Linked DNA regions of Tamandua tetradactyla. The protein of the gene in region 1 purifies or fractionates together with the protein of each later gene. This does not show direct contact. Links are inferred from orthologs where the notes say so. Each region holds a gene or a part of one and is shown in the gene's direction. Other genes may lie near its edges. The genes, in order: tumor necrosis factor receptor superfamily member 10B-like and CFLAR.

Evidence for each region.
Region 2: the proteins of tumor necrosis factor receptor superfamily member 10B-like (region 1) and CFLAR purify together in Homo sapiens (affinity purification with western blotting, with the first as the bait; 5 studies listed by BioGRID). This does not show direct contact. The link is inferred for Tamandua tetradactyla from reciprocal best matches to the Homo sapiens genes TNFRSF10B and CFLAR.

What each region holds. Positions count from the first base shown.
Region 1 is NC_135329.1:23,966,755-23,978,432, reverse strand, and holds the start of tumor necrosis factor receptor superfamily member 10B-like, read left to right. Parts: upstream 1-7,267; 5' UTR 7,268-7,700; coding exon 7,701-7,838; intron 7,839-11,678. UniProt on the Homo sapiens protein: Receptor for the cytotoxic ligand TNFSF10/TRAIL. The adapter molecule FADD recruits caspase-8 to the activated receptor.
Region 2 is NC_135329.1:175,640,367-175,652,161, forward strand, and holds the start of CFLAR (CASP8 and FADD-like apoptosis regulator), read left to right. Parts: upstream 1-5,968; 5' UTR 5,969-6,100; intron 6,101-6,438; exon of another isoform or gene 6,439-8,112; 5' UTR 8,113-8,230; intron 8,231-11,795. UniProt on the Homo sapiens protein: Apoptosis regulator protein which may function as a crucial link between cell survival and cell death pathways in mammalian cells. Acts as an inhibitor of TNFRSF6 mediated apoptosis.

The sequences.
Region 1 (11,678 bases):
GATAGTGTCCAGGTTCAGGAACAGCTATGAGAGCAATTCAGGACATCTCTGTTAATTTAGATGAACTGGGAATTGGCTAAACTGAATTAATAAAAATGCAGGATTATATACTATTTTAAATATAATTATATTTTATTTGAGAACCAGACTTAGAGGACAGATCTCTAGAGAATAGAGTTCATTAGACCAATGAAGAGCTGCCCCAGAGCCTGGAGGTTATATGGACCCTAGAACCTGAATGTGAGGCTAGAGTGTGGGCCCAGGGGAACAGAATCTAAACCCAATTCCTAGGATATAGATGCAGGGTCAGGGCAGCATTTTAATGTCTCAGAGTGAGGGTTATCGGATTCCCATTTGTATCAGGTAAGATGTGGCCAAGAGGTAAGACGTTGGGTGAGCCTCCTCTGGGCCTCCACATTGCCAGGAAGCAGGAAGCTCCAAAATTAGTTCAGAAAATGGTCAAAGACCTTTTTCGAACAGGAAAGTCAGGGAACCTTGATGATAAGTGTCAGGATCCACCCTCCCTCACTTTTGTACTCAGCTAACTTTGAGAAGAAATAGGCTAGAAGAAGAACCAGGGAAAGAAATGCCTTGGAAAGCAGAACAAAAATAGGAGGACAGGGCGTTAGTTCAGGGAGGGTCTTAAATGTCAGACTAGGAAGTGGGGGCTTTGTTCTGGCAAAATATAAACAATAATAGGGTGTTAGGCATGTGCTACGTCTTTCCTTGTTTTCAACTTTCCTTGCAGATGTTGCCACCTTTGATCAGGAAACCATTTTTTGGCTCTACAATGGATGATTGATGCCCCTATCCCACCCCAAATATCTCTACCACATACATTGTGTAGATGCATTGCCTTAAAATAAGGTATCTTAGGAATATACTCTAACACCACAGCTCAGGATAGCCTAGATGACAGGAAGCCTGAGACTCAGAATTGGTCATAATATTTTATGAAAAACATTATTTAAAGATATAAAATGTTCCCGGTGACTTCCCATGTAAAGAAAAAAAAAAGGAAAAAAAACAACAATAAAAAGATATAAAATGTTCTGCCCATTCTGTAAGAGATGTCTATTTAGTACTAAATATTTCTCATAAAAAATAAAATACTTAAAAGCAAACACTTCTGCAACAGGAGGATAAACTTTTTTAGATCTTGAGACACACCCATTCATGAAAGGGAAATTCCAGCCAGATTCCAGAAGGAGCAGTCACTCCTTGACTTACTGATTTACAGTATTTGGTGTTATTCAACAATAAACAAATTTATTCAATCTTACTATATACTAGGCACCCTAAAATCCATAACTTTAATAAGTCCTCATATTATGCTTTAGAAGTAAACAGTAACAAGCTATTAACATTTTCACTATCCCCTGAGACTGCTTTGCTTTATTCCAAAAAAGAAAAAACAATTTCCAGTCTTCACTTTTGGCTGTTATACAAGAATTGCAAATGCTTCCACCTTACATCATCTAAACCAAGAAACGGAACCTGGTCCAGATCTCCCACTGGGGTCTGCAGGCTTTGTTGGGGAGCAAGGTGGGGCCTTGCAGAACCTGGGTGCTAAAGGCCTTTGTAGGACACAGGCACGGAGTTTCAGTAAGTTAGTCTTGAGCTCAAAGCACCTGACGATGTTTTCACTTATTAAATGGAGCCAACAGAAAAGCATTTTCTTATGTTCTGGACATGAATTTGTAAGCAGGAAACCATACTTATTCAGAGACTTTGAAAAAAAAAACAGTAAGTGTATTGTTCATACAGCCTCAATGTCCAGAAAGGAAACTGGGCAATGAGCCTCCTTTATTTGTTTATTCTCTTTTTCTAGCTAAGAGCAAAATAGATACTTGGAAAAACGTGGTGAGGGACTTAAAAGTCAAGGATGAATAGGTGCTCTATCCAAGAGGACTGGTGGAGGGGGAAAGATGGAAAGTGGGGAGGAGAGGTTGTGCCGCAATAGATAAAACCCAGACATCATCCTTCCACATAGCACTACTCTCAATGCAACCTATTTAACTCTTAGTTTTCAGTCTGTTGCTCCTGGCAGCCTCCCGAGAGCAGGAGGTTAAAAGTCAAGGATGAATAGGTGCTCTATCCAAGAGGACTGGTGGAGGGGGAAAGATGGAAAGCGGGGAGGAGAGGTTGTTCCGCAATAGATAAAACCCAGACATCATCCTTCCACATAGCACTACTCTCAATGCAACCTATTTAACTCTTAGTTTTCAGTCTGTTGCTCCTGGCAGCCTCCCGAGAGCAGGAGGTTAAAAGTCAAGGATGAATAGGTGCTCTATCCAAGAGGACTGGTGGAGGGGGAAAGATGGAAAGCGGGGAGGAGAGGTTGTTCCGCAATAGATAAAACCCAGACATCATCCTTCCACATAGCACTACTCTCAATGCAACCTATTTAACTCTTAGTTTTCAGTCTGTTGCTCCTGGCAGCCTCCCGAGAGCAGGAGGTTGTCCTCGGCTCTGGCACATGGTTGGGCACAGAGAGATGGCCTGTAAGGCTGACCCCATGTCTGGGTGCCCAGCACACAGGGCCCTAGGCTAACCCTTTTGGTGAGTTTCAGTGCCACTGACGAGGCTCACTGCCCTACGACCCACAGGTCTTATTATTCTAGGTTGATCTATGGACTGTATGTTTGTGTGAATGGAGAAAGGTATGTAAAGTTTCTTCTATCTAAAAATTTTGTATCTTCAAACACAAAATATGTTAATAAGAGCATCACTAACATTCTGATACAGCTTTTTTTTTTCTGATACAGCTTATAGGATAAGTTTCCTAGACTGCTTAAAGAAAATACTATGAAATGACTTGACTTGAACAATGGAAATTTATTGGCCTTCAGTTCTGAGGCCAAGAAAATGTCCAAATCAAGGCATCAGCAAGGCGGTGCTTCCTTCCGGATGACTGGCTGCCAGCAATTCTTACCTCCTTTGCCACATGGCAAGGCACACAGCAGCGTCTGCTGATTCCCCTTCTCTTCCGAGTTTTGTTGATTTCAGCTTCTTGCTTCCGTGGTTTTCTCTGTCTCTCTGTATTCAACCTATTTATAAAGGAGTCCAGTAGGAGGATTGAGTCTCATCCTGTATAATGTGGGTCACATCTTAACTGAAGCAGCCTCATCAGAAGATCCTACTTATAATGGGTTTATAAACTAGGAATGGACTAGAATAAAGAACATGTTTTTCTGGGGTACATACAGCTTCAAACCACGACAGATTCAAAGCCCAGCCTCATGGACTCACCCAATGGCAGAACTCTCATTTTTCTGTGAGTGTCATACAGCAAGTTCCTTCTCCTGGAGCTGATTGTGTCCCAGAGTACTGTTCAGTGGAGTGGAGGGACCAGGGACAACAATATGCAAATGGTGGCAGCAGCCACAGATATTGGAGGCCTCGCCCAGATACTGGCAGATGAAATGAAAGGTAAAGGGAAATAAAAGAAGCTCTGTGGTGTGGGATGGACAGTATTTGGCACCTGCATTGCTCTGACAATGGATATGGAATAATCAAAGGTGACTTAGACATATGTCTTTGAACCTGGAAACAGGGGAGGGAGGACAGAAGAAAGAGATGTCTGTTTACCATACTTCAAACATTCTATCAGAGAGAACCTTAATTTTATAAATTGCAGGGGAAAAAAAAGTAAATTTATCAGACCATTCATATGTACTGGTAATTAAAGTCCTAAAACTGTAGACTTCCCGATAGAAAACATGATTCATTGCTCATAAAATCATCTTTTTAAGTCATGGTAAGTTGGTCATTAATTAACAAATACTTATTTTTAAATGCCTGGGCAAAAAGTGACAACCTGCCTATCTTACTCTCTAAGTATTTACATTTTGTAAACTAAAATTGAACCATTTCTTTTTTTTTCTGCAATTCAAGGTTTCTTTAGGGTAGTGTGGTTTTCAATTCAGATTCTCTACTTCCTGTATTGGCTTCTGCACAATTCTGAGTTGGGAAAGATAATCTTCAGGATAGGAGAAGTACCTGGAATCATAAGAGAATTGTAAAATTACATCTATTCTGAGATTGTGAAACAGTCTAGGAATGCCATCTCTCCTGGCTGAACAATGGGCTGGAAGCCCCTCTCGCCACTCTGCTGCCAGTCCATCCTTACCTGCCCCTTCCCAGGCAGCAGGCCATCCTGGGCACTTTTCAGGGACAGGAAAAGGGTCCGTGAGGCATTCTGCCTGCAGGAACAGAGCCAGGAATTGGAGAACTTTAGTCCCCCGACCAAATGACCAGCTCTCCACCAAATTCCCCTCATACAGTCTTCACACCAGCCTCTCAGTAATTCTCAGCTCACCCCCAGCTCCGAGGAAATTCTGTGCAAGTGTTAAAAAAGAGGGGGATCCAGGGGTGTGGACCTCCCTGGCAACGTGTGACAGAAATCCTAGAATGAGCTGGGACTCAGCATCAAGGAATTGAGAAAACCTTCTCAACCGAAAGGGGGAAGAGAGAAATGAGACAAGTTTGTCAGTGGCTGAGAGGTCTCAAACAGAGTTGAGAGGTTATCCTGCAGGTTATTCTTATGCATTATATAGCTATCCCCTTTTTAGTTTACTGTAGAACTCTGTTCCAGTGGCCATGTTTCTTGAAGATGATGGTATCAAGATATAGCTTTCACAAGTGACTGTGTGATTGTGAAAACCTTGTGTCTGATGGTCCTTTTATCTATGGTATGGCCAGATGAGTAAAGAATATGTCTTAAAAATAAATGAATAATGGGGGGAAATGTTAAAATAAATTGAGTAGATTGAAATACTAGTGATCAATGAAAGGGAGTGGTAAGGAGTATAGGAAAAAATAGAGGGAACAAAGGTTAAAATAAATTGGGTAGGTGGAAATACTAGTGGTCAGTGAGTAGGAGGAGTGATGTATGAGGTTTTTTTTTTTTTCTTTTTTCTTTTTCTAGAGTGATGCAAATATTCTAAAAAATGATCCTGGTGATGAATATACAACTATGTGATGCTATTGTGAGTCATTGATTGTACACCATGTATAGAATGTTTGTACGTTGTTTTGGTTTGTCATTTAAAAAAATTTGGAAAAAAAGAAAAGAAAGAAAGAAAAAGAAGCGGGGAATCCATTTCCAAGGACGTAAAAGGAAAGATAATCAAGGTATAACTTAAGTGTAAAAAGCTCCAATGTTCAGAAGGTCAAAGAGTGCAAATCTATTCTTTTCTGAAACATATTGCATGCATACAGGGAATTCTGAGGGAACATCCCGAAAGAGTTTAACAGGTTATCTCGGGAGCACGGATAAGGGAATCATGAGGACCCCCAAATTTCATAGTTCTAGGTAAATTTGATTATGTTTAAAATTGACACGCGCCCGTTCGTCACCAGGAGACTGTAAAGATGCGCGCGAAGTCTCTAGCCCAGAGCCCGGGCTCCGAGAAAGACGTCGGGGTTGCGGACGGTGCGTCTTCTTCACCGTGGCGGGCACGCGAGCTCCTCCGGACCGCAGCGCATAGCCCAGGGCAGGGTCCCCGGACAATGCACTGCGCGTGCTACTCGCTGGGCACCGACTCTACCTGGCGCAGGTGGAGGCGCCCCGCAGAGCATCCCTAACTCCGCCCTCGAGGGTCAAGCGTGCTAGGGTGATACTAATTCCCCTCCCGCGGGTCCACTTAATCACCAGGAAAGTGTTCCTCCGCCACCGCGTCGTCGTCTGCCCGAGCTGCCCTCTAACCCCGGCCCGCGCAGCGCCTTCTTGCCGGCCGCGCCCCTCCCGGGAGCCGGGGGCGCGCCCGGGGTCCATTGGTCCTGGCGGAGACTCGAGACAATTCTGGCCCCGTATTTCGTTGAGCTGAAAAACTCTTCTTCTTTTCCGTAGTGTTTCACGTCGAATTTTTCGTTGAACCACATTTTGGGGAGCCCGGAAATTGTATGTTTGTGTGTGTGTGTGTGTGTTATTAAGTACAAAGATCTAAAAAGCGGTGTCCTACAGATGGAGTGGTTCCCAGCGCTCAGCGCCCCTCCCTGCTCCACAGCGGGGCGCATCCTCACGCCACCCCTGTGCTGAAACCTGAGAGGCGAGGCGTGTGGCGTTGTGCGCGGTCAGACAGTCGGTGAGTCAGACCCAGGACTGGGGGTTGGCGGGCGAAGCCCTCTCCGCTGCGCTGGCCTAGTAGAGCCAGCCAAGTAGAGTCCGTGGGCCCCCGACCCGTAAAACTGCGACGAAGCCTGGAGCTGCAGGCGCCCTTGGGATTGCCTTCCCCTCCCACCTAATCTCCAGCCTTAAACCGCTCTGTGAGCACCCGGCAGGCAGGACCTCGATTTAAGAGGCATTGAGTTTACAGGACTCCACCGCGTCCCAGGTTAGCTACCGAGGTGGGTACGCGGGGACGGCTGGAAGGACCTCAAGACCAAGGATCCCTCTCTAAGTCCTTCGGTTTCAGGTGAGGAATAGTCCCCAGAGGTTCAGCTTCTCGGAGATTTTAAAGAATCCAACAGGGAAGGAAAATCCCGAAGAAGGCCGGCTTGGGTTCCTGGGGCTGCTGAGGCAGTAGGGTAGGGATGGCATTTTAATTGGCATAAAACCTTGAGGGCAAAAGAAAGAAGACTGACATGGTCTTATTAGAAAGCAGAAAGTGGTGATGGGGAGAGGGTGTGGAAGCCTCTGTGAACCCAGTCCAAACCCTTCGAAGGAAAATTGCACCACAGAATTTTAAACAGACAAAGATGACTTTATAGCTACCATGGAAGGGGGGAGAGAATAGAACTCAGCTCCCAGGAAGACAGAGTGGTGGTGATCAGTTTTATGGTCGAGGGAAGGACAATGGAAAAATATCAGTGGGCTATGTGGTGTGAGAGGGAAGGGGAATACGCTTGATAACTTGGTAAAATTAGTATCTGAAGTTGTCTGTTTTCTTTTCTGCAATACTGTTAGTTTTACTGTGCAGCCCTACAGCTCCAAGTCCTACAGGTTGGTCAAGACAAAGAAATCTTGGTCCGATCCTGCAGGTCATATCCCGTGTGTTCTCGGTTTCGTCCACACATCTGTTCGTGGAGCATTTGCTCGGAGCCTGGCACCCGGCTGTTGAAATGCTGAGGTCGAGGCCCCTCCGGGAAACCCCGCGGTAGGACAGAGCAACTTGGTGAGCGACTCCGGATTCAGTGAAACCAAGATCCAGTGAAGCCCGGCCGCGGATGGAGGGGAGGGACAGAGGTGAGGGGGCCACGGACGGGAGGCAGAGGGAGGGAGGTCAGTATTCCAGGGTTTACGCGCGGGAAAGCCAGATGCGGCTGGATCCGGACCTGCCTGAGCGCCTTCGGGTTCAGCGCCGAGACTACGGTGCCTGCGAGTTGCCGAATGCTCCTCCCCACCCGCGGCGCGGTGGGGAGATTCTGCGGGAGAATCCCTCCACCGATGCCCCACCCCCGGGGCTAGGCTTTAATCCCCACATATTTCTCCCCCGGAAGCGCTCGCAGAGAGGGTGCCAGCATGATTGGCCCGCAAGGCAAACTGTTGATTGGAATTGCGACCTGACTCGTCACCCCGCTGGCGTTGCGCAATCTATAAAAAGCGCTGCATCCGGCGGGATTCCCGCAGATAGACTCCGCCGCGATCTGGGACAGACGGCTTACCGCTCTTCTCTGAGAGAAGTACACGGATTGACATCGCCGGAGTTTAAACCCCGCGCGCGACCCGCCGGCGACCAGGGGCGCCGCGGAAGGCCATGGCACCGCGAGGCCAGAGCGCCCGCCAAGCCTCCGGGGCCCGAGTCGGGACCTGGGTCGGATCGGGAGCCAGGCTTCGGCTCCGGGACTCCTCGCCTTGGGGCCTCCTGAGCCTTCTCTTCCTGGCCGTCTTCCCGGTGAGTTAGCCGCCAGAGCGGGAAGGCGGGCACGGGGTGGGGGAATGGGGCGGTGGTGGCACGGCGGCCCGCGGGAGTCTCGCCCCGCTGCCCCGGGCGGGGCATGCCCGGGCAGGGCGAGGCCTTCGGCGCAGTGGAGGGCGGGACTGGGTCCGAGCCGCCGGGCTGAGCGACTGTAGTGGCGGATTTCAAAACCCACCGGGCGAGAGCAATGAAGTTTGTCATGTCCTGAGCCAACCGAGAAGGGGTCTGGTGCCCTGCAAGTGAGCGACAGAAGGATTCTCTTTTCTTTCTTTCTTTCTTTTTTCGATAAATGTTTTAAATTCTAAAGAGTACTCTCGTTGCAAAATGGGTGAAATTAATGCCAGCGAAAGTAACTTTCTCGTCGCCGACTTCCGCACCTTTCTTTTTTCCTGAGATGGCCGCTCAGAAGTTGAACAGTTGCCCGACTTTCTTCCAATCATTTCTTGATATAAACTTGTGCGGGACTCTTTTGAAGCGACCAGCGATCGCATGTTCTGGAAGCCAGGGTGTGACGCTGTTGATCTGACTGAGCCATGCAGTGCTGAGCGTTCTGAGAAACTCGTGGGGAAGAATTGTGTAAACTTCGAGTATCTTTTTAGGTTAACTTGGCCAAGGTCTGGCCAATTACATATTTGAAATTGATCGAGTTTAAAAAATAATAATAAATAATTGCCAAAACAAGGTTACAAGAATCATGAAATTGTTTTTTCATTTAGCAAATAAAAACAATTTAGAAAAATAATAGCATTTCTGTATTCACATGTAACCACAGACTTTGTTTTCAAGCTATCAGTTTAGATTAGGTAAGACCCAGATTTCCTGTAGCTTGTGAATAGTTTTAGTCTATTTTGTCTCCAGATTGGATTGGAAGGATAACCTGTGTGGCAAAGATAAAAAATCTGAATTTGATGAATTTGGGAATGTGAGACCTAGGCCTTCTGGCATTCCAAAGCCCCCTCCAGCAACCCATAAGTTTTGCCTTTCTCTGTGCATTTACGGGCACAATTATATATTTTTTCTTAATTCTGAAGCAAGAAAAAATTACATCTGCTCTTCTATGTCATACCTTCAGATTTCTTTTCCTCTTTTTATTTTTTTTTTAAAGCATAGTATTTTATTGCATGTGTAAGCAAGTATGGGTGAAGCACAGTTTATTTTACCGTTCTCTCCTATGGATAGCTGTTTAGATGATATCCTTTTTTTTCTTTTCATTTTTGCAAATTCCAGCAGCATTACTGCAGATATCCTTGTATGTACTGACGTGTTCCTGTCAATGGTTTAAGTCTTTAGAAGTATAATTGCTCAGTATGCGGGTTAAATTATCTTCGAAGTTTGTTTAGATGTTGCCAAATTGTTCTCCAGTACACTGTCATCAAGTGTATACAAGTGAATTTTCATTCTCTACTAGTCTGAGAGGTAAAAAATGGTGCATCCCAGTGTTGTGTTTTTGTTTCTTCCATCCTACTAGAGATTTTCAAGGACCTATATGTGTTTTGAGACTGGAAGCAAATCAGCTAGGAGACATCACACTGTTAGCAGGGGAGGGTGACAGAGGATTGGAATCTCAGCTCTGCACTTGAAAACTTTGTCAGCTGAGGCTTGACTGCCACCCAGCCACGCCTGTAACATGAAGATAACAGTCCTTGGGCTGTAAAAACGATTGTATCAGATGAGGCCTAGCACTGAGCTTACTTCTTGACTTTAGAAGTTCCGACAGGCTGTAAAAGATCTTGACCTTGGCGGCTGGAGCCAGTTGGGCCCTACTTTGCCCCTTTCCAACTTTGTGACCCTGGTGCAGCCATAGCTTCTTCATGTGTTCAACGTTGAGATCTGGGAGCCACTGTGGCGGATGTGTGAGCTTGTGTGGGAGGGCAAATCACACTGTCAGGGTTGACTTGGGTAAAAAAAAAATCCGTTTATTTAATGCTGTATGATTCCTTTTGCTTGGGGTTTGATGAATTTCTTGGACCTATAGATTTAGAGTTTATTCCCGCGTTGGAAATTTTTTGGCTATTAGTTCCTCAGATATGTGTGTGCCCCCTCTAGCCTTCCTGGGTCTTAATTACACTTAGGTTAAAATGCTGCATGTTGTCTCAGAGCTCACTGAAAGATCTGTTCATTTTTTTCTCAGTTGTTTTCTCTCTGGGTTTCATTTTGAATAATCCCTGTTGCTCTGTCTTCACGTTCATTGGTGTTATGTGGTGTCTGATTGGCTGTTAATCCCATCCATTTTATTTTTCATTTCATATACTGTGTACTTTTAATCTCTAAGAAGTTCCATTTGGGGCTTTTCAGTATCTTCCATCTCTATTCTTGTCATGTTCTTGTTTACCTTCACATCTTTAGCATATTGATAAGATTAATAAAGACTGTTTAAGACCATCAGTTCCATCATCCCCGACTGTCATAGTCTGGACTGGATCTATTGATTGATTTTTACTTTTCTTAAAAAAATTTTTTTTGCCATTGGGGGATATTTTCCTCCTTTCCGTGCCTGGTAATTTTTTTATTAAATGTGAATTTTACATTCTTGGACATTAGATTTTGTTGTGCTCCTTTAAGGTGCTGGATATTATTTTGGTGATTAAGAAAGTTGAGTGTCGATTTGATCCTTCCAAGGATAGCTCTTAAACTTTGTCTTGTCTACATTGCCTATTTTGTGACTGAAAGATTGTATTAGTTAATTTCTTAAAACTCTACCTAGTATCCTCTGTGTTAGGTCTTTCTGCTCAGTCAGATGGAACATGACAAATCCACAGCCCGGTGAGCTTTGCTAACTGTCCGGCCTCCTGATTTTGGATGCTTCTCTTCTCCCCCAAGGGTAGTTTGCGCCCATAGGCACAGATCAGCCCTCAGCCAAAGACTGGAGGGTACCTTCACTCTTGTGGTCCCCTCCTGTGCTGCAGCTTGTGAACTCTTTAGGCACTGAGCCTGGCCATCAGTAGGCTCACCTCCTCATTCACTCATGATGTAATTAATAGGCACTTCGCACTGGAAAGTCAAGACTGCACCTTGGAGGAGGGAAAAATTGAACCCTCTGTGAATCCTGCTCCCTGGAGCATATGATCTGGTTGAGAAGTTGAGACCAGGGACCAAAATATCTAAAATCAGGTAGCATGAGGGAGGCGGGAGACCCCGAGGGGTTGCAACGGTGGCCGGAGCTGTCATTCCTCCATGTTTTGACTCTGACTGGAGTAAGGCCATGTGGTTTGTGGTATTGCTGCCCTGGAGAATGTGGTCCAGATTTTTCCTGGGAGATTACAGTCTGCGTTATGGGTGGTTATTGTACTAATGACAGCACGTGCTTAGCTGTAGCACTTCACTGTGTATGGGAAGCTCTGGTTATAACACTTACATACGTGTTATCTGATTTGATTCTTAAAACAACCTGACTGTAAGGACTGTTATGACCCTTGTTTTCCGATGAGTAAGAGAAAATTCAGGAAGTTGCTGAAGGGCACTTAGCTGTTTGGTGGAGGGCTGGGCAGGGGTGGTGAGCAGGGCTGCAGGCAGCGCCAGGAGAGGCTTGCACTCAGCCAGTACAGACTGACTGCTGGGCGCACCCCAAGGGATTTATTTAATCCTTAAATAAATGCTTTTGTGTGAAGGGCTTGAAATAAGCCCCCTTATTTCAAGAAAAATAAACAAGAATTTAGGAGGAAAGGAAGTGATTGACCCCAGATCATTTAACTGTTCAGTGGCTGACCCAAATTGAGGTCAGATGGCTTGATTTTTAATCCAGTGTTCTTTTTTTTACTACTCTTTCATAAACAAACTAATAAGCAGAATCCTCTGAAGAAGATCTCGGGGCCACAG
Region 2 (11,795 bases), about 150 Mb from region 1:
GGACATTTGTTGAGGATTTTTTTTTTTTGTATGCTGTATGGTTGTCAAGGATTTTTCATTCATATTCATAAGATATATTCTTTAGATATATATATCTAAAAAGATATATATGTCTAAAATATATCTAAAAGATATATTCTTTTCCTGTGATGTCTTTGGTTTTGTTATCAGCATAATATTGATCTCATAAAATTAGTTGGAAAATGTTGTCTTCTTTTTTTTGGAAAAGTTTGTGAAAAATTGCCATAAATTTTTCTTTATATGTTTCATAAGATTCAGCAGTGAAGGCATTTAGGCCTGGGCTTTTCTTCGTGGTTAGTTTTCAGATTCTGTTTCACTTTCATAGATCTATTCAGATTGTCTATTTCTTCTTAAGTTAGTTTTGGTTGTTTGTGTCTTTCTAGGAGTTTGTCCATTTCATTGAAGTTATCTTTTGCTGACATACAATTGTTCTTAGTATTTTCTTGTAATTTTAATTTTTGTAAGGTTAGTAGTAATGTAATTTCTTTCATTTCTGATTCTAATGATCTGAGTCTTCTCTCTTTTTGTTTGTTTAGTTTAGCTAACATTTTTTCGATTTTTTTGATCTTTTCAACAATAAACCTAATTTTGGTTTCATCTGTTGTTCTCTATTTTTCTATTTCATTAATTTCCACTCTAATCTTCATTATTTCCTCCCTTCCACTTTTGTTTACTACTCTTTTTCCAGTGTTTTAATGTGGAAGTTTATATTATTGATTTTGGATTTTTCCTCTTTCTTAAAATAGGCATTTACAGCTATAAGTTACTCGCAAGCACTACTTTCCCTGAATCTCATAAGAAAAGTTTTCTCCTACTTTCTCTGTCTCTCCTCTCCTTCTGGTACTCCCATTGCAAATATGTTGGTGTGCCTAATGGTATCTCACATATATCTGAGATTCTTTTCATTTTTCTACATTCTTTTTTTCCTCTCTAGTGTTTGGCTTGCATAGTTTCTGATTTAACTTTAAATTCACTTATTCTTTCTTTTGCCAGTTCACATCTACTGTTGCACTCCTCCAGTGAGTTTTTCATTCAGTTATAGTATTTTTTCACTCCAGAATTTCTATTTGGTTTCTTTTATAATTTTTATCTCTTTATTGATATTCTCCACCTGATGCAACATTGTCATCATACCTTACTTTACATCTTTAATCATGGTTTCTTTTTGTTCTGTGAACATGTTTATAATGGCTACTTAGGAAAGTCTTTTTCTGATGAATCTTACATCTGGTGGCTCTGTTGCCTGCTTTTCTTCCAGTGTATGGGCCATACTTTCCTGTTTTGTTTACATGCCTCATGATTTTTTGTTGGAAACTGGACATTTTAGATAATATGTTTTAGTAACTCTGAGTACTAGTCTTCCACACTTCAGGGCTCGTTATTGTTATTTCTTAGTTTAGTGACAGGTTGGATTATTTTAGTGAAGTCTATTACCTGCTTACTCCATCCCTTTGTACCACACCCCCACCCCCACCCCCACCCCCACCACCAGGTTGTTAAACTTCTGATGTTGCTCCTCAGGGAAGTACAGCTTTGGGTCTATCTATAGTCACCCCGAATGACTGGCAGGGCTCCCATCATCTCTTAGCTTGACCACACATAGCTATTATGCTGCTCTATGTTTTTAACAATGCCCTGGGGCATAAATTGCTCTACAACCAATCCAATCTAATTCTGGCAACTTTGAAGGAACAGTTTTTAAAGTCAATGTTTGATATTTGTTAAGACCCTAGGAGATTTCCTTCCAGTTCACTCATTCCCTGGTTCTCTCCTGCAAATTAGGAGGCTTACTATTTAGCATGTATCTTGAATTTACTTCCAATTGTCTTTCATTGCAATCTCCATGGTTTTTGAGAGTGTCTTCAGGCTTGAACTTCTCCATGCTCTGTTACAAATGAAGTCTGTTCCTTTGGGAGGTGATTAGGAGTTATCTGTCTTTTGACCTGCTTCTCCCCCAGGCACAATATCTGATTCTGGAGCTGGAGGTGGGAACAATGTTAAACTACTCTGGAGTAACACCCCTGGTCTAGAAGCTGAGCACTCAGTCAAGGGAGCTCAGGAGCAGTATCTTGAGGTTCCCTTTGCTTGCCTTTCCTGGCATGGAGCCACCACCTCATGAATGGGGAACATTAAGATCCATAATCTTAGTGCACTGGGCTCAAGGTAGAACCTTTGTTCAACCAGTGGGGACTGAGTGGAAGAAGGAAGTTCCCTCTTTTCAATTGCAACAAATAATTGGGGCAGGATGAGAAATGCTGATGTTTTGCTACTTCCAGGAACTTTCGACCTGGGACTAGGGGAAGTGGGAGCCCTGTGTTCTTGGTTGCAGCAGTCTGGAATTGGGAGTCTCTGTCTCAAAAGCTGAATGGGGCTGGAAGGCATTGGTTTTGGTTCAAATGCAAGAGACTCTCATTTCTTAGTGAATTTAACAGATTTTCTTGAATATGATAACTGAACAAAGGTAGCGGGTTCTTAACCTGATGACCATAACAGCCAAGCCATAGCACTGGAGTTTCAAAAAAAGAGCGTTTAATGTTACGTGTGAAGCAGATCAAATGGCCTGAGGGGCCAAGGATCTGTCTCCTGGAGTCTAGGAAGACTGGGTTTTTTTTTTTTTTTTTTTTTTTTTTTTAAAGGAAGGAAAGACAGAGAAGGAAGGAAGGGAAACATTTTTAAACATTTTCTTGTTTTATTATATTTTGTTTGTTTGTTTGTTTTTTACATGGGCTGGGGCCGGGAATCGAACCGGGGTCCTCCGGCACGGCAGGCAAGCACTCTTGCCCGCTGAGCCACCGCGGCCCGCCCCAAGACTGGGTTTTATGGATTCAAGCAAGAGGAGATGAGAGTTGTTTCCATTATAATATCAAGTGTAAGCAGGGCTGACACCAGGCTAGAATGATCATTGCAATAGTAAGTATACACAAGGCTGAGATCAGGGTAGAATGACCATTATAATGCCAGACATAAGCAAGGGTGAAACTAGCTGAGTTTCAGTAATGTCAGGTATTAACTTCTGCCTATTCTACAATATAGAAAGTTAAACATCTAAATTGATTCAAAAATCATAATTGTTTGTTAATTCTTAATTTCTCAGTTATAATTAGATGTTTCTTCATTTGCTGTTTGCTTTTGGAACCATTTCTAGAGGTTTTACATGCTTTTGTTTGCAATTCTTCTGTAAGTTTAAAATGATTTCAAGAGAAGTTAAGAAAATTTAAAAAATCACAGGAAAGTAATTTTGGGGAACAAATAGGTTAAAACATAGAAAGCTCTTTCACTTTTACTATTATCATTATTTTTTTCACACATTAGTATTAAACAACAACAACAAAAACCCCACCTAGAACTCTTTCAAACAACCATTCCAGGTTCACAGACTATCCAGTCCCAGAAGCTATCAAAAGGAAACAGCAGTTTGGGTCACAGGAGAGTATTTCAACCCCCACACAGTGAATATCAGGTCTTTATTTTTATTGTGGTAAATATACATAACATAAAAATAATTTTAATTGTTTTTAAGTGAACAATTCTGTGATATTACATACTTGATAATGCTGTATAACTTTCACAACTACCTATTTCCAAACAGAAATAGGGTCTGGCTTATTTCACTTGACACAATGCATTTAATGTTCATGCATGTTGTAGTGTGTATCAGTTCATTTTTTTATGGCCGAATAATAATAATAATAATAATAATGATACATGAATACATTTGCTTATGCATCCATGCATTGATGGATAATTGAGTACTTCTATCTTTTGGTATTATATATAATGCTGCTACGAACATCGTCATGTAAATGTCTGTTTGGATCCCTGCTTTCAATTCTTTTTTTTTTGCATGGGCAGGCACTAGGAATTGAACCTGGATCTACAGCACAGCGGGCAAGAATTCTGCCACTGAGCCACTGTCCCACTACCCTTTCAGTTCTTTTTAATTGCTCTCTAGAAGTGGAATTGCCAGGTCATATGCTAGTTCTGTGTTTAACTTTCTGAGGAACCATCAAACAATTTTCCACAGCAGCTGTACCATTTTACCTTCCCAAGAACAATGTATGAGGGTTCTTATTTCTCCACATTCTTGCCAACACTTAGTGTTTTCTTCTTCTTTTTTTCTTTTTAATAATAGTTAACAGGGGGTATAAGGTGTTAACTCATTGCAGTTTTCATTTGGATTTCTCTAATGGCTAGTGATTTGAGCATCTTTTCATATGCTTATTGGTCATTTGTGTATCTTCTTTAGAGAAATGTCTATTCAAATCCTTTGCCCATTTTTAAATTGGGTTGTTTGTCTTTTTTGTTGTTGAGTTATAGGAGTTCTTTATATATTGCAGATATTAAGCCTTTATCAGATATATAACTTTGGATATTTTCTCCCACTTTGTAGGTTGTTTTTTCATTTGTAATATTCCTTGGTGCACAATAGTTTTAATCTTGATGAAGTCCAATTTATCTATTTTTTCTTTTGTGGGCCATGCTTTGGTGTGAAATCTAAGAATCCACTGCTTAATAGAAGGTTCTGGAGATATTTCTTCATGTTTTCTTGTAAGAGTTTCATAATTTTAGTCCTTATATTTAGGTTGTTGATCCATTTTGAATTAATATTTGTATATGGTGGTAGGGGTCCAAATTCATTATTTTGCATATGAATTTCCAATTGTCCCAACACAGTTTGTTGCAAAGACTGTTCTTTCCCTATTGAATGGGCTTAGTGCCCTTGTTGAAAAATCAATTGTCACAGATGTGAGGGTTTATTTCTGAACTCTCAATTCTATTCCATTCATCTATATGTCTATCCTTAGTACTACACTGTTTTTTTATTACACTATTTTTATCGTAAGTTTTGAAATCAGGAAGTGCGAGTCTTCCAACTTTTTTCTTCTTTTTCAAGATTGTTTGGCCTATTTGGGTCCCCTTGCAGTTCCAAATGAATTTGATGATTTGCTTTTACATTTGTGCAAAAAAGGCTGCTGGAATTTTGATAGGGATTATATTGAATTTGTAGATCACTTTAGTACTATTGACGTCTTAATATTGTCTTCCAATCCATGAACACAGGCACGCCTTTTTTCATTTAATTAGGTCTTTTTTTTTTTTTTTTTTTTTAAAGGAAAGACAGAGAGAGAAGGAAGGAAGGATAGAAGGAAGGAAGGAAGGAAGAAAGGGAAACATCTTTAAACACTTTCTTGTTTTATTGTATTTTGTTTCTCCGTTTTTTGTTACATGGGCTGGGGCCGGGAATCGAACCGAGGTCCTCCGGCATAGCAGGCAAGCACTTTGCCCGCTGAGCCACCGCGGCCCGCCCTAATTAGGTCTTTTTTTAAGAAGTGTTTTTAGTTTTCATTATGCAAGACTTTCACATCTTTGGTTAAATTTATTCCTAGGTATGTTATTCATTTAGAAACTATTGTAAACATAATTTTTTCATGATTTCTTTTTCAGGTAGTTTTCTTACTGTTATATAAAAACACCAGTAATTTTTGTGTGTTTATCTTGTACCCTGCAAATTTGCTGTATTCACTTATTAGTTTTATAGCTTCCATGTGGACTCACTGAGATTCTCTATATAGAGGATCATGTCACCTGGGAATAGGGATGGTTTTACTTCTTCCTTTACAATTTGGATGTCTTTTTTTGTTTACCTGATTGCCCTGTTTAGAGCTTTTAGCACAATGATGAGTTAACAGTGGTTACCGCGGGCATCCTTACCCTGTGCCTGATTTTAGGGGGAAAACTTTCAGTCTTTTACCATTGTTTTTTCATAGATGCCCTTTATCATACTGAAAAATCTCCATTACATTCCTAGTTTTCTAAGTGTTTTTTTTTAATGGAAGAATTCCAATTTGAATGCTTTTTCTGCATCAGTTGAGGCCTTTAACTTTTTCAGGGTGCAAGTTGACAGAAATCCAATGCGCAGCTAGGACACGGCTGGAAGGGGTGTGGACAGAGAAGCTCAAAGCATAGTAATCGCCCACGTCTGCTTTTAGGCTTTCGGTTTCTCTGCCTCCATCTTGCTTGCGCTTTTGGCGTCTTGGGGAATAAGTCTGGGAGGAGATCCTCGGCTGTAGGCAAGACGGTATGTACCCCTCGCTGGACTCCGCTACTGCTGCCCGCCAGGTGGCTGGCACAGTCAGCGACCCACACTCCCCAGGCTCCGAGACCCGGCGCTGGGTTTCCTTCTCAGCGTCTCAGCCGTACCCTCTCACCCTACTCCTATCCCTTCGCCGCTTCTCCCCAACTTGATCTTCCCAGCCTTGGCTCTGGGCCTGGGGTGCCCAATCCTGGCCACAGAAGGGGTGGGCCTTTGGGGTAGGTGACTGTGTCCTCTGGGTTCCTCCCCGGGTTTGCCCCGCCAGCGAGACGGAGCGCCCCCGCCCCCGCTCTCACTGTTGACCCCGCTCTTCCCCAACCCAGGTTTCCAAGAAGGCAGCCCAAGGCTTGCCAGCGTTCTCATCCCGCCTGGGCGCGTCGGGACAGACCGGACCTACCAGGAAGTAGCTCTTGACTAACACTGGCCACCCCCTGAAGCCCCAGAGGCGGCAAACAGGCCGGGGATCTTCTCTAGTCCCCAACTTTGCTTAAAATCAGCCTGAGAGTTGTTGCCTTTCTGGGACGAACTGTTGAAAAAGATTTCGCAGTTTTCCTTTCGTAAAGTTGATTTAAACGTTAGGACTCTTTATGCAGTTGTATGTGCATAAACTTTACCCAGCAGGAGCATCCGGTCTTGCAGGAGTTTTTTCTCTTTTTTAAGAACTTGGTGAAGTAGGTCAGAGCTGTTATCTTCTCAAAGCAGCTGCAGAATTGAATGTTTTGGCAGATTGCAAGGAAAGCTTGCCTTCGGAAAGTTGGGAATGCTTGACTGACGAGATCTTTTAAAGCCCCCAAATAACTCCTCCACTCCCCACCCTACCCCCCCACTCGCCTCCCCGCAGAGGCTTGGGGAAATGTAAATTAATTTCAAGATTTTTTTCGCTCAATGCCTGGACTTGCTCTGAACGGCATGTTCCTTTAAATATTAACATAGCACTGCAATGGAACAAAGGTCCTTACGTATGAATAAGTTGGTTGTTCAAAGCAGGAAGTAGTTCAAGGACGCTAAAGCCTACCAGAATGCTTTTATTGACATTTGAAATTTTTTCTTACGCAAAGAGGGGTGGTTCCAGCTTGCTACCTGTAGTAGGCGAGTTAAGTGAAAAGAATTTTGGATACTAGAGTTAAGTGACAAGAATTTTGGATACTGACAGTCTTACTAAAAGTAAGGCTGGGCTTGAGCCGCCCAGTTAGACATTTAGATAAGAGATTTCAGATAAACAGGAATTGAATTTTTGGTATTTCCCCCCCCCTGGTGGTTCCCTGAAATCTTTTCCTTCGGAGGAAGTAAAAACATGGCTCAGTTACAAAATTAAAGCAACAACAACCAAACAATAGAAGAGGCAGGGTTGGAAAGGAATCTTGAGTTTGTTCTCATACCGAAAACTTCCTTGTTTTAATGTCGTCAGATTTAACACTTGTTTTACTTGTAGATTCTGGCTGGGGTGTCCTGATTAAAATGGCTTTTTCTAACAACATTATGCTTTATATTTCTGTTTGTAACTGACATTTGCAATTCCTTTAACACAGCGTTAACGTCCTTAAACCCTCTCCCGAGCTCAGTTCACCAGCCGAGCCTCAGGGTCTGGATGTCCCTCTGCCCCCAAGAATCTTCTGCGACGGGGGTTCGCAGGCAGTTTTTTTTTTGAGCTGGAGCCCCTGGGACCTCTTGGAAGCTAAGCCAGAGTAGGTCTCCTGGGCGTCCCCCGCCCCTCCGCTGCCCCCTGGGGCTGGTGAGGTGCTGCCGCGACCGGGGGCGGTTAGTAACTCCCCCAGCGCCGCGTGGGCGGTTTCCCCAGCGTAATGGCCGTTTTACCACAGAAAAACACGCACGGGGCCTTGCGAAAGCTTCTAAGTTGCAGGGACAGGGCACTCCCCGGATTCAATTTTTCTAGTCGTCATCTGTCGTGGAGGAGGCGCATAGTGGATGTGCCAGACAGAGGTCGGGGACGCTGGCCTGGCGGTCACCCCTGGAACGCCTGGGACGCTTTCCTCCAGGTCCTCGTCCCATTGGGAGCGGCCACAATCCGGAGAGGCAGATCTAGAGTGTCCGACGAGATCTATTTCCCGGCCGAGATACCGTGGGAAGAGCCGGTGGCTGCGCCGGCGTGAATAGGTGGGAGAACCTTGCCCTCCCCTTTTTCTTTTGACTCCAGTCCCTCTGCGGATCAGCCCCTGAACTCCGGGGACGTCGGGGAACTGTCAGTCCCGTGCGCAAAAGAATTGAGTTTATGCTTACAGCCCTTCGAACCACCCCTGAGCCTTCTGGGCCCTCTCCCAGCACCCTGAGTCTACAGACGTGCCAGTCTTTTAAATGCCAGGAATGGACTCCATTTGGAGACAGCCTCGCCCTTGAAGTCTGATTATTTCTTCCTTGTAGAGTCCCAAGGACTAATTAAACTTGTGTTGATGGACTTTAACGCTTCCCTGCCTTTAATTCACTATAACCCTATGAATATTTTTTTGAGCTTTTTGAGGCCTGGCTGAGTTCTGGGTGCTGGGGACATTAAAAATGGATCTGAACTTGGTTCCTACCTCCAGAAACTGACAAGTTCTGTTGGAGGTAATAGAGTAAAGGTAATCTGTAATCAGGGCCAGGGCTTGCTAAACCTGGCAGAGGAGGAAGACATTTTCATCTGGGTAGGGGAGTAATGACAGGTCACAGAAGGCAGGTGTGTTCACATGCAGTTTTGTTTTACTTATAGATCAGTGAGATGAGTAAAACTACTATTATTGTAATATGCCCTATATCTCTTTTAAATTCAACTCCTGTCACCTCCTCTAGGAAGGCTTCACATACTCAGTGGCTCTTTCTACTTAACTACAGCATTCCATTTACCACTCTGTATTATATTTTTTCTTCAAAAAGCTTTTTTTCAGTCAATCTGTAATATAATTATCTGGTTTAAAATACATGGAAAGTAAGTAGAGGAAGCTCTCAGGAGTCCATTCCCTACAGATAACCAGAGGTTGCAATTTAATGTCTTTTACAGACATTTGTGCGCTCAAATTCAGTGCTTTAAAAAATATATGCATATGTTATTATTATTGTTAATTTTTTCCTCTTGTTTCTTGTGTTGCTGTTTCTCCAAACTGTGTTTCAGAACTGATGTTTTTTCTATTAATACTGCTGTTTTTCCCACATGTAACTCAATTCCCTGTGCTGTCAGTGTTCTAATGGAAGATTGGTTTTTCTAATGACTGTTTTTTGTTTTTTAGAATGCATATATCCTCAATTTACATTTAATTCATCAGCTTGTTCAGACATCCTGAGTTGATTATTTTTCCTCCCTAAACTGCTGTAGATTTAGAGAAAGAATTTCTTCTTTGATGCCATGCATATATGAGTTTATATACTTGTATGTATGTATGTATGTATGTGTGCGTATATATATATGATATATATGTATCACCTTGAATATATTCTTTCTAGATAAAATTTCTTCCTTTTCTACTTCTAGCCACTTTATTTGGACATTTAAATTTTTAGTCAAAACAGACCAACAGCTTCTTTGATAGTTTAGATATTAGTTTCTTATCTTTGGTAATTCAGTACTTATTATGAAAGAACTTACCATGAAAGAACTTACCATGAAAGAACAAAGCTCCCTTAATTTGATATCATATTTATCTGCATATCCAAGATAGTTTCTGTGTTCTATGGTGAACTCTTCAATTGGAGAAATGAATCTATCATTTATATCTAGGTACCTATATATTTTCATATTATACCTATATTATATATATATAATATATACCTATTATATTTGTATCTGTATCCGTATACCTCAGTTTTAATTGAAAAATCCTCTTGTAGCAACTTGCTCCAAGGTATACAATGTTTTTCAGACTCATGGCTTACTTCTCTTTTCTGATATTACAAATGAGAACCAAAGACTTTTCCACTTTTGAAAATCTTGAGTCTTTTTTTGAACCTCTTTTTGGTCTTTTGGGTTTTTTTTTTTCCATTTTACTTGAAGCTTACAAAATAGTTTTGATAAATCTATCACTTGAATACTATCCTGTGAGTGAACCAAATACCCTGCAACAATCAGCAAACACCCTTTTCAGTGTAATCAAAATTCAGTCGCCCATTCAGCATTTACTAAGTACCTCCTAGTGCTAGGGAATGGGGGCACATAGAAGATCTTCTCCTGCTGTCTGGAGCTCCAGCTCTAGTTGGGAATGGCGGAAAAGCAACAATAGATAGGCTCAAAAACTTACCCATGGTGTGCTATTGGGATCCCAGAGCTCGATTTCAATACTTGACTTGGATTCTATTCTAACCCATAGCTGGGTTGTTTTGATCTGGCAGCCAATTAGAAGGCTGTTCTTTCAGTGTCATGGTAGACCTGTTAGTAAAATGTTGTGGTGGCACAGGGATGTATTGTATAAAACTGCACCATAGAGAATGTAAATCAGTTTTTCTGCTTAACCTTTGTCAAAACATTATTCATGCTAAATGTGGAACAAGTCTGCCCTTATAGCCTGAGTGGTCACCAGGAATATCAAGGAAACTTGGAGGAGGAGCCAGGTAGGATATAAGAAGATGGGAACAAGTACACAGGTGCCAGAAATGATGATGAATGATGATGGTGCTGAAGCAAATGGAATTTTTCTTTTCTTTTTTTTTTTGATCATATGATGAAATTCTATTTATTTGAGTTTAATATTTTTAAAAGGCTTCCTAACTTATTTTATGCTTTAATATGGGAATATGATTACACATCATTTGAATTGAAAACTCAAGACGTATTTAGATTTTTTTGGAAAACCCAAGAAATATTTTGATTAGATACTTTGGGCAAAATGTAGATCAATATATAACTCAAATACAATGATTTCAGAGAACACAGAATATAATAGTTAACATCCTTATTATAATTTCATGTTTTCTTCCATTCTTCTTTATTGAAACTTGATTGAAATGCACTGAATACAGCATTTGAAAATGTGTGTGTGTGACCTGAGAAAACTAATTTACTTCTTCTTTTTTTAATTGGCAAAACATAACAACATACAAACACTAACATTCTTAACATATGAACATTCCATTCTTGGTATATAATCAATGACTCACAATATTATCAGATGGTTATATATTCATCACCATGATAATTTCTTAGAACATTTGTATCACTTCAGAAAAACAAATAAAAAGAAAAAAGAAAAAACTCATACATACCATACCTCTCATTGACCACTAGTATTTCCATCTACCCAACATATTTTAACCTTTCTTCCCCTATTTTTTTTCTAGACCCCTTACCACTCCTTTTCATTAATCAATAGTATTTCAATCTACTCATTTTATTTTAGCATTTGTTCTCCCTGTTATTTATTTATTTTTAATCCATGTGTTTTACTCATTTGTTCATACCATAAATAGAAGGAGCATCAGACTCAAGGTTTTCACAATCACACAGTCACATTGTGAAAGTTATATCATTATGCAATCATCTTCATGAAGCATGGCTACTGGAACATAACTCTACAGTTTCAGGTACTTCACTCTAGCCTCTCTAATACACCTTAAGCTAAAAAGGGGATATCTGTATAATGTGTAAGAATAACTCCAGGATAACCTCTCGACTCTGTTTGAAATCTCTCAGCCACTGATACTTTATTTTGTTTCATTTCTCTCTTCCCTCTTTTGGTCGAGAAGATTTTCTCAATCCTTT